Linked DNA regions of Sus scrofa. The protein of the gene in region 1 interacts with the protein of each later gene in a pairwise test. Links are inferred from orthologs where the notes say so. Each region holds a gene or a part of one and is shown on either strand. Other genes may lie near its edges.

Region 1 (3,627 bases):
TTGAGGATAGAAGAGAAAAAAACTTTTGTTTTCACTTGTTATATCAGCTTACTTTATCAATGTAATGGCCAAAAATCATTTTTAACAATGTGGATGTTTTTGAATTTGTATGTAATTATCTACCTGCCTTCCAGATGAGTCACCTCCGCTTGGAGAAGTTCTTCACTAGTGTGGGTAAAATCCAGCCGGGAGAGCACTTTCTCCAAGTCCCCCTGCCCTTGAGAGGGATACCCCCTTTCTTCCTGAGCCTCCTCCAGTGACCTATGGGAGGACCCAGGAGGACTGTTAAGGCCTTGTATCTTTACAAACAAAAACAACATTGAGCCAGTTCATATTTCCCAACTGTTTTGGTAAGGGAACTCTTCAGTTTGTTTCCTGCTTTATAATAATAAACACTGGGAGAGTAAAGAGGCAGAGAAGATTTTTCTTGAAAAAGTCAGCAACAGTTTACTCCTTTCTCACTTGGGATTTGGCCTGTTTTTTCAAGAGAAAAAGACAAAATGACAAAAACCATCTTTTTGACCCTTGACCCCTTCAGTCAAAGAAACTGAGGTTACGGAGAGTTCTGGTAACAACAGAATGTGCACCAGATTCAAGCAAAAGGAGTAGAGCTTCTCCTTTTACTTTCCACACAAATCTCATAGCAACAATTCATAGATAGAAATAAAATTAGTTTCACAAGTTTTTTTAAAGGGCTATCTTAATAACTGGCTTTTTTTTTTTTTTTTTTTTTTTTTGTCTTTTTTTGCTATTTCTTGGGCCGCTCCCACGGCATATGGAAGTTCCCAGGCTAGGGTTCGAATCGGAGCTGTAGCCACCAGCCTACGCCAGAGCCGCAGCAACACAGGATCCGTGCCGCGTCTGCAATCTACACCACAGCTCACGGCAACGCCGGATCGTTAACCCACTGAGCAAGGGCAGGGACCGAACCCGCAACCTCATGGTTCCTAGTCGGATTCGTTAACCACTGCGCCACGACGGGAACTCCATAACTGGCTTATTGATGATACTGATGATAAATAAGCAGCTACTAATCAAGACTAATTCTACCAAGGAAGGGATGCTTCCCAGGGGATATGGATTACAATTCCTTTCATATCTTTTCACTTTCACCAAGGGTACAGGTTGACACAGGGGTTTCTAACTTTCTAAACGTCAGATTCCTTGGTTAGGGACCCAAACTGGAGGCAGAAAAAAACTAACCACACGATATTTTCCAATACTATAAAAATTTAACTCAAAACTAAAACTAAAAACAAAAACCATAATAGAATCAAATACAAAATTATGAAAAGGCAATATTAAAAATGGCACTTAATGCTAAATCACTCTGTGGCTAAGATTAATAATTTAAGATCAAATAAGAGTTCCCTGGTGGCTCAGCAGGTTAAGAATCTGGTGTGGTCACTGCTGTGGCATGGGTTCAGTTCCTGGCCCCCAAATTTCCGCCATGCCATGGGTGAGGCCCAGAAAAGAGTAAATGTACCTCATGGTCTCTAATGTGTGTTGAGTGTCAGCTGCCTTTAATTTTGCTTGGAGCTTCTCCTTTTGTATTCTTGCTTCACGGATAAAATTTTCTTGAGTCTGAAGAGCAGCCTTCAATTCTCTCTTTTCTTCTTGTAGAACCTACAAAAAATACTCGGAAAAAAAGTCAGATGTTATTACAATTTTTCTGTACCACAGGAAGAGGAAGCCAGTGGGTCAGACTGTGAATTAATAAGGCTTAATATTAATAAGGCTTGTTATTTCGATCCTGTTATTAATATCAGTATCTGATTCATTGGTTAGAGCAGGGAAGAAACCACAGATTTTGGAACCTAGTCCTAGGTTAATTAGTTTCTCTTAAAACACTGAAACACACATTTCCTCAGTTATAGTATACCACAATTTAAAAACATACCTCTAGCAGTTTGTCAGATTCCCTCAATTTTTCTTCTTTTTGCCGCTGCTCTTGCATAATAGTCATATTGGTTCCAACCAAGTCATTGACCCTCATGGTGAGGCGCTCTATTTCCAACTCATTGGCACAGATAGTGTCGTTGGCCCGCTCCAGCTTACTGCTCAGGTGCTGGATTTCCGACTGGCTAGACAACTCTACAGACTCTAATTTTTGTTTCCGATTGGCAAGCTGAGCCTAGAAACACACAGATTAACAATTGGTAAAAAGTGACAAGATGTATAATCTATGAGTAAGGAAGACTAAAATGATGTAAACATGAGTTTTACTTTTATAAAAACATAAAGTATTAACTCATTAAAAATATATAACTCATTCATAATAGAAAAATTTTCATGATAAAAAACAGGAATAGAGAGAAACTTTCTCAGTTGATAAAGACTATCTACAGAAACCATACAGCTAACATTACATTTAATGGCGGTAAACTCAACACTTTCCCATTAAGATCAGATGCAAGGCAAGGATGTGCCTTCACACCACTCCTTTTCAAGATCACAATGGATATCCCTGTTAATGTAATAAGGCAAGAAAAGGAAATAAAAGGTATATATATATAATGAAAGAAGACACAAAACCGTCTTTGTTCAAAGATAACATGATCACCTATGCAGAAAATCTGAAAAGAATCCACTAAAAAAAAAAAAATCCTGGAATTAATAAGCAATTGTAGCAAGATTTTAGGATGCAAGTCAAATACATAAAAGTCAATCACTTTCCCATATATATATACCAACAATGAACATGTGGAATTTAAATTAAAAACGCACTGCTACTTACATTAACACCTAAAGAAATTAAATACTGTGGAGTTCCCATCGTGGCACAGCAGAAATGAATCCAACTAGGAACCATGAGGTTGCGGGTTCAATCCCTGGCTTGCTCAGTGGGTTAAGGATCTGGCATTGCCATGAGCTGTGGTGTAGGTCACAGACATAGCTTGGACCTGGCACTGCTGTGGTGTAGGCCAGGGGCTACGGTTCCAATTGGACCCCTAGCCTGGGAACCTCTATATGCTGTGGGTGTGGCCCTAAAAAGACCAAAAAAATAAATAAATAAATAAATAAATAAATTAAATACTTAAGAATAAATCTAATAAAATATGGGAGCTCCTTGATGGTCTAGTGGTTAGGACTTGATGATTTCACCACTGAGGCCCAGGTTTGATCTCTGGCCTGGGAGCTGTGATCCTTCATTAAGCCACTGTACACTGGGGCCAAAAAAAAAAAAAAAATGTAGATTCCTGTGCTCCACCCCAGGAGATCTAAACTCAAAACCTGATGTGGGACCCAGGAATTCTCATATTTAAATCTAACAAAATACTTACAAGATCTATATGAGAAAAACCATAAAACTCTGATAAATGAAATCAAAGAATCACAAAGTAAATGAAGAGATATTCCATGTTTATGGAAAGGAAGACTTAATGCTATCAAGATTCAGTTCTTCCCATATTATTTATGGATTCAATACAATCCCAATCAAAATATCAGCAAGTTATTTTACAGATATTAACAAACTGATTCTAAAGTTTATAGGAAGATTCAAAGACTCAGAATAGCCAATATAATACTGAAGAGAAGAAGAAAGTTGGATGAATAATGTCACCTAACTTCAAGATTTACCATAAAGCTACAGTGGTCAAGACAGTACAGTATTGGCAAAAGAGT
Region 2 (3,336 bases), on another chromosome or scaffold:
CTACCAGGCTCAGAGACTCGGCAGAGGAGAGTGCGGTCTACTCAGCACACAGGTCGAAAGCGAGAACAGTGGCCTGGGAGGACAAAGGACGGACCATAAGGGACCCTCCTGGGACGTCCACCCAGGAAGATGGTTTTCTCTGACAACAGCTTCTCCCGCTCACAGGAGCTCGTCCTCAACAGCCATGTCTGGATGGCAGGACCTCAGCCCAATGTTGAGCCATTTTGATTCACCCACCTGGAAACACAGACTCACCCAGGGCTGGGTGCAAAGCAGGCACTTGTTTTTTTGGTTGTTTTTTTTGTTTGTTTGTTTTTTGGGGCCAAACCTGCAGCATATGAAGTTCCCAGGCCAGGGGTTGTAATAGAGCTGCAGCTGCCGGCCTCCACCACAGCCACAGCAACGCCAGATCAGAGCTGTGTCTGTGACCTACACCACAGCTTACAGAAATGCTGGATCCCCAACCCACTGAGTGAGGCCAGGGATCCAACCTGTGTCCTCATGGATACCAGTGGTGTTCGTTAGTGCCCAGCCACAACAGGAACTCCGAAGCAGGGAGTTTGAAACAGCACACTGGACCAGTGTAGGTACCAAAGAGTCTGGTTTACAGAAAGAGTGAACAGCGTGGAAGCAAGCTGCCACAGGTGGTTCCTGACAGTTAAGGTCTGGCCACGAGGCCGTCAGAGGACGGTCACAGGCATCACATGCCTCTAGGCTCCAAAAGACACTAAGATTCTCTATCAACAAAGCCCCTTTATACCTTAGGAAGCACAAATGTCTTTTTTGGGGGAGGACGTGACTATGGCACATGCAAGTTCCAGAGCCAGGGACTGAACCTGTGGCACAGCAGTGACACCACCAGAGCCTTAACCCATTGTGCCACAAGAGAACGCCCAAGGAAGCACAAATTTCTCATACGTGTTATCCAATTGATCTTGACTGAGACGGTGACCGATAATTAGAGACAGACAGTGAGGGAACTGGACGGAGAAGGCTTTGAGGACAGAGACGCCATCTGTGTATGTCCTGCTCTTGACTAGGAGCCTGGTACACAGCTGGTGACCAAAGAGGCGTTTGCTAAACCAGTGAATGAATGATCGAACAACAGAGAGGAGGAAAGCATAAACAGATGAGAGTGACTCCAAGACCCAACAAATGCCACGTGCCCAGCTGGGTATCTGACGGTTGAGCTCAGGGACCTGAGGTTAGCCCCACTTTCCAGGACGAGGGAAAAGGAGGGATGAAGAGTGGAAATCCACCAGCCACGAAGCTCGAAAGCCAGAATTCGATCCTAACTGGCTTCTTTCTCTAGGTCAGTCCTCCTGCTCCTACTGGGTAACCCAGAACAAGCAGACAGACCAGAAGAATGACGCTGAGAACAAAGGACGAGCCGGCGCGAGGAAGAAAGGATGGGCGCAGCCAGGAGAGAAAGAGAGGACAGAGCGCGGCAGGAGGTGCAGAAAAGAGCTAAGAAAGGAGCCCCCAAGGGCAGGACCCCAAGCCCAGCCTCAGCAGGACGTGCTCACCTAGCCGCCGGGGCCGCCAGCCCTTCACAGTTCGGCCCCTCTCCACGTCCACGAGGACTCTCCTGCCGTCAATCTTCTTGCCGTCTGCGTGCTTGTAAGCGGCTGCAACAGACGCGGGGAGGGGGAGGGGAGGAGTCCCCAGAGGGTCCTCTAGTCAGGCTGAGGCCCAGCCCTGCGGCATCCCCGCCCCCCGGGTCCCCATCAACACACTCGCACACGTGCACACACACCACACACACACCCCCACACCCACCAGACAGCCAGGCAACTGCCAGCCAGACCCATCCCTTCCCAAACAAGGAGGGGACTGCTCCATCGGCAGCTGCTCATCACCCCCAGTCGCCACTGGGGGGCAGACCACGCCCCCCCCCCCCCGCCCCCCGGCTCCCAGGCCGTCCCAAGTCCCCACTCCCATTCGACAGAGCAGCCCCCCCTGCCAAGGTGGCCAAAGTCGCTGCAAAGAAACCAGAGGTTAACTTAAGGCTGGACTCTGCTGCGGGGGAGGGCTCCCCCACAACCCCAGGCATGCACCCTAAAACATCATGCTGGGGGAGCAGGCCCAACTGGGCCCCTCTGCACCCCAGTTCACAACGGTTTCCTTTTTCTGTGGGTTTTTTTTTTTTTTTCCGGGGAGGGTGAGTGTGGGGGGAACAGACATCAGAACAGAAAATGAACCAGAGGGGGAGGGAGATCTTTAGGAGATGGAGGAAGGGAGCAGAAAGGCGGGCTATGGGGCTCCCAGGGGGCCTGGAGGGGCCCCTACAGCAGGTGGGGCTGAGGGGCAGTGGAGGGAGATGTGGGAGACGTGTGGTGCTACTGCAAATGTCCTGCCTTACCTGAAAGGCCTGCGCCCAGCCCCGGCCCCATCCCATTGCTCCCGCAACACCTCCAGCGCAACGGGCCCTGGGAGGCCGGCCCCAGCCTGAGCCTCCCGGGAGGCGGAGGAGCAGAGGGGAGCTGTGGGCAGAGGCCCCCTCCCTGGCCTATCTCTTGGGGGGCGGTTGGGAAGGCCAGAAGAGTCCCTGTTGCCCACCCCCGGCCCTGGCTAGGGGGCTGTCCTCAACCAACCACAATACCCTGCCCCGCCCCAGCCCTCGCCCCCCCAAATAACAACCAGAGGAAGAGAAAAAGGTGCCATTTACCGATGCCGGCCTTGCGGGTGTCCAAACCGAGCGGGATGGGGGGGGCTCGGCAACTCCTGGGGGCCTGGCGAGGAGGCGGGCTTCCCGGGGGGGGGGGGACACGGGACCGCTTACCTGGAGCCCCCAAGCTTACCTGAGCACGCGCACAGACCCCACACCCACCACCACGAGGTCAGCTAAAGCTACAGGGAAGGGGAACCGGGGCCTCTAGGGAGCCACGGGAAGGAGAGGGGCCACACCTCCTGCACCACCTGGAGACAGGCAGAGGAAGTGGCGGACCCCAAAGAGACCTCGTGGAGGCCTTGAAAGGGGGACACGAGGACTCACGCCAAGCTTGGGAGCTGTAAAGCCAAAGGCCTATCTTGTTGGAATTTAAAAAGAAGGCCAGGGAGGCCTTACGAACCTGTGCACCTTCCCTTTCTCCCAGCAAAGTCCGAGCTACACTAGGCACACGCCCCCGCCCGGCACACGGAAGGCCTCTTCCGCCTCGAGCTCCGCACTCCCTCCCACCACCTGCTTCAGCCCAAAGGCTGGCCTGCAGCAGACAGCCCTGGGGGTCCAGGAGACGGAGCGCTGTCCGCGATCCGAGGAGGGGCCGCGCGGCCCCTGCGCCCAGAGGAGGGGAGCAGGGGAAGGCGTTTAGGGACTGGGAACCCAGTCAAGCAAAG
Region 3 (3,627 bases), on another chromosome or scaffold:
ACGGGAACTCCCAAGGCTTTTTTAAAAAAGGATGTTCTAAAAGAACAAAGGGAAGAGCACATGGATACTTTTGTCCAAAAACTGTTTTTTGTCTTTTTAGGGCCATACCTATAGCATACGGCAGTTCCCAGGCTAGGGGTCAAATTGGAGCTTTAGCTGCTGGAGTACACAACAGCAATGCCAGATCTGAGCTTTGTCTGCTACCTACACCACAGCCCATGTCAACGCCAGATCCTTAACCCACTGAGCAAGGCCAGGGATTGAACCCACATCCTCATGAATGCTAGTCAGATTCATTTCTGCTGAGCTATGATGGAAACTCCTAAAAACAGTTCCTTGTAGTATCCACCTATTTAAAGATGGATTTTGAAAAATAGTTCCTTTCTTAATGCTCAGTGGAATGTAGCTCTTTTTTTTTTTTTTTTTTTGGTCCTTTTTTTTGGCAGGGGCCGCACCCACGGCATATGGAAGTTCCCAGGCTAGGGGTCAAATCAGAGCCGCAGCTGCTGGCCTATACCACAGCTCACGGCAATGCCAGATCCTTAACCCACTAAGCAAGGCTAGAGTTTGAACCTGTGTCCTCATGGATGCTAGTCAGATTTGTTTCCACTGAGCCACAACGGGAACTCTGAATATAGCTCTTTAGAGCAGCCAATATGTCTTTGACTGCTTCAGTCCTTTGTGAGAGAATGTCTTTCCTTGGTGTTTTTTAAGCTGGACATTCATTCATCCAACAAAAATTTATTGAGTGTCTGCCACTGGCCAGGCACTTTTCCAGTCATTGGGGACACAACTGTGAACAAAGCTGACAAATACTTGTTTTTGTGAGACTTACTTTTTGGTAGGGGGCAGGCATATGATACACAAATAAGCAGAGATATGTAGCATGTCAGTCGGGGGTGAGAGAAATAAAGCAGAAGATGGAGGCTGACAATGAGTCAAGAGGGGGAGGTTGTAATTTTGAGTAGAATGTCAGTGAAGACCTTGCTTGGAAGCTGACATTTGAGTAAAGATCTGAAGGAGTGAGCAGACTTTCCCCTAGTCAGAATGAGGTATTTCTTCTGTGAGTTCTCATGGTGTCTGAAATTGTCATGTGTGGTCACTCATCTGTCTCCTTGCTCAGCAGGGAGCTGCTCGTGGGCAGGAAGCAGTTGTGCTGTCTCATTTTGAGTCTGCTATCGATTATTTATCTACATGTTCTCTCCTAAACTACCTGGAAGCTTCTCAAAGGTGCAGTTTTTATCTGATGTGTATCTTTCAGCAGCTAGCTGAATGCCGTGTGTCCCTCAAAACTGAGTGAGGAAATTAATAGAACACTCATTCCCACAGCCAAGAAGGCTATGGTGAAGAGCAACTGCAGAAACAGCATCAGGTAGCAGACAATTCTCTTAATTGAGTTGTATGACTCTTAAAGCAATTCTCCAATTTATTTGGTAATACATTTCTGCACACTAGTTCTACTAAAAACTTGTTTTCCTGCGTTCGTTTTCTCTAAGTTGTCCCAAGTGATACGACCCTGGCCTCCTGTACTGTTTTTAGCCCATTAAAAAGTTATATCTATAAATATGACTGACTCCTGAATTTTCCTGTTGGGAGACACCCCTCAGATTTATTTTCTAGAGTTTCATCAGACTGAACCTATACTTTTCTATGGCAAATATGCCTTTTTCATTTTGAGTATCCTTCAGGCACTAGGCTAATTTAAAACCATGGTCAGCAGCCTTTTATGCATATAAGTAATTTCAATTGTTTCCCACATGAAAAAATATTAAAATTTTTGTATTTGTATAGAATGTGGGGTTTTACCTCTTTAGTTGTTTGAGCTAAAAGAACTTTGAAAGGTTTGTGAGAGGAAAGAGGGGAAAAGATCAGTCGTACCCTTGCAGGCATGTAAATAGAATAGCCCCCCTCTGCTTTCTTGTTCTCTTATCTACCCCACAGTCCCTGTCATCCATGGCAGCTACTGTTTTTGTAGCCCGGGGGAGTGGCTGTTCTGGAAGTCCCTCCCACCCCTTCCCACACCCTCCTCCTCCCTCCCGAGGTATCCCCCAGTATCCAGGAGGGCATCTTCCTGGCTCCTTGATAAGTCCCTGAGCACTCTGTTCCCTCCATTCCCTGTGCCACTGTCCTCTCTTCCCTGGCACACCCTGGGGCCCGCGCAGCAGGAGCCCAGCTGGGGGAGGTTGCTCGGTTTGCAGCAGGAGAAACTGTGTTCCCCTTCATCTCAGGTAAACCTACACTCAGAAGGAGCCTCTATGAAGGGTGGGTTGGGAGTTCCCGCTGTGGCACAGAGGGATCAGAGGCATCTCTGCAGCACTGGGATGGATCCCTGGTTGGCACAGAGAGGTAAGGATCTGGTCTCACTGCAGCCGTGGAATGGTGGCTTATATCTGATTCCTGGCCCCAGAACTTCCATATGCCTTGGGGTGGTCAAGAAAGAAAAGAGAAAGAGGAGTTCCCGTCGTGGCACAGTGGTTAACAAATCCAACTAGGAACCATGAGGTTTCGGGTTCGATCCCTGGCCTTGCTCAGTGGGTTAAGGATCTGGCATTGCCGTGAGCTGTGGTGTAGGTTGCAGAAGCAGCTCGGATCCCGCGTTGCTGTGGCTCTGGCGTAGGCCAGCGGCTACAGCTCCGATTCGATGCCTATCCTGGGAACCTCCATATGCCACAGGAGCAGCCCTAGAAAAGGCAAAATGACCAAAAAAAAAAAAAAAAAAAAAAAAAGAGAAAGAAAGAAAAAGATTTAGTTTTATACTTTCACAGTGTATGGGTTAGTACATGATCTGGGAATCTAACCATCCTTTATAAAATAAATGAAATAGCATTTATTTTTGGGCAACTTGGTATCTCTCATTCTGAATAAAATGTCATTAAGAGAAAATGTATCTAGCTACAAGTAGCTTATAATCCATTATGTACAGAGTCCACATGTAACATATAACCTGATTAAGGGGACTTTTAAAATTTAAAACAGCCTTGGGGGAGTTCCTGTTGTGGCTCAGTGGGTAACGAACCCAACTAGTATCCAGGAGGATGTGGGTTCCATCCTTGGCCTTGCTCATTGGGTTAAAGATCTGATGTTGCCTTGAGCCATGGTATAGGCTGCAGATAAAGCTCAGATCCTTCATTGCTGTCACTGTGGCATAGGCCAGCAGCTACAGCTCTGATTTGACCCCTTGCCTGGGAACTTTCATATGCTGCAGGTGCAGCCCTAAAAAAAAATAAAAATAAAAAAGCAGCATTGGGAATCAGTGTCAGCTTAATTTGGTTTTCAATTCCAGACATCATATAACATTTTTTTTCCTCCTACCAGGCTGATTTTAACACCGACGTTTCTGGGGTGAGTGAACAAAAACAGGATTTTGTGAACTTTTCTGATATTTACTACTCTAATGAAGAGTATTTCAGGAAACTAGAAGAGCTGAAGGCTGCCCACATGGAAACTATGGCCAAGTTAGAGAAAATGTACCAGAATAAACTAAATTTAAAGGAAGTTCAGCCAGTGGTCACCAGGGAAGAAGCTGCTAGTGTCTCTTCTAAGTAAGTTTGTACATAATGTTATTTGTGGAATGTAAAATAAAATGTGTACCTAAAAGTGCAGAACAAAATTATTTCAGAATATTTT

The links. The genes of interacting proteins can lie anywhere in the genome.
Region 2: the proteins of CEP63 (region 1) and SNRNP70 interact in binary tests that used the Homo sapiens proteins (3 or more experiments, as listed by UniProt). The link is inferred for Sus scrofa from reciprocal best matches to the Homo sapiens genes CEP63 and SNRNP70.
Region 3: the proteins of CEP63 (region 1) and FAM161A interact in binary tests that used the Homo sapiens proteins (3 or more experiments, as listed by UniProt). The two-hybrid records come from large-scale screens. The link is inferred for Sus scrofa from reciprocal best matches to the Homo sapiens genes CEP63 and FAM161A.

The regions. Positions count from the first base shown.
Region 1 is NC_010455.5:75,671,971-75,675,597, reverse strand, and holds part of CEP63 (centrosomal protein of 63 kDa), read right to left. Parts: intron 2,135-3,627; coding exon 1,901-2,134; intron 1,627-1,900; coding exon 1,487-1,626; intron 262-1,486; coding exon 124-261; intron 1-123. UniProt on the Homo sapiens protein: Required for normal spindle assembly.
Region 2 is NC_010448.4:54,298,261-54,301,596, reverse strand, and holds part of SNRNP70 (U1 small nuclear ribonucleoprotein 70 kDa), read right to left. Parts: intron 1,629-3,336; coding exon 1,523-1,628; intron 1-1,522. UniProt on the Homo sapiens protein: Component of the spliceosomal U1 snRNP, which is essential for recognition of the pre-mRNA 5' splice-site and the subsequent assembly of the spliceosome. SNRNP70 binds to the loop I region of U1-snRNA.
Region 3 is NC_010445.4:79,959,105-79,962,731, forward strand, and holds part of FAM161A (protein FAM161A), read left to right. Parts: intron 1-1,264; exon of another isoform or gene 1,265-2,346; intron 2,347-3,315; coding exon 3,316-3,542; intron 3,543-3,627. UniProt on the Homo sapiens protein: Involved in ciliogenesis.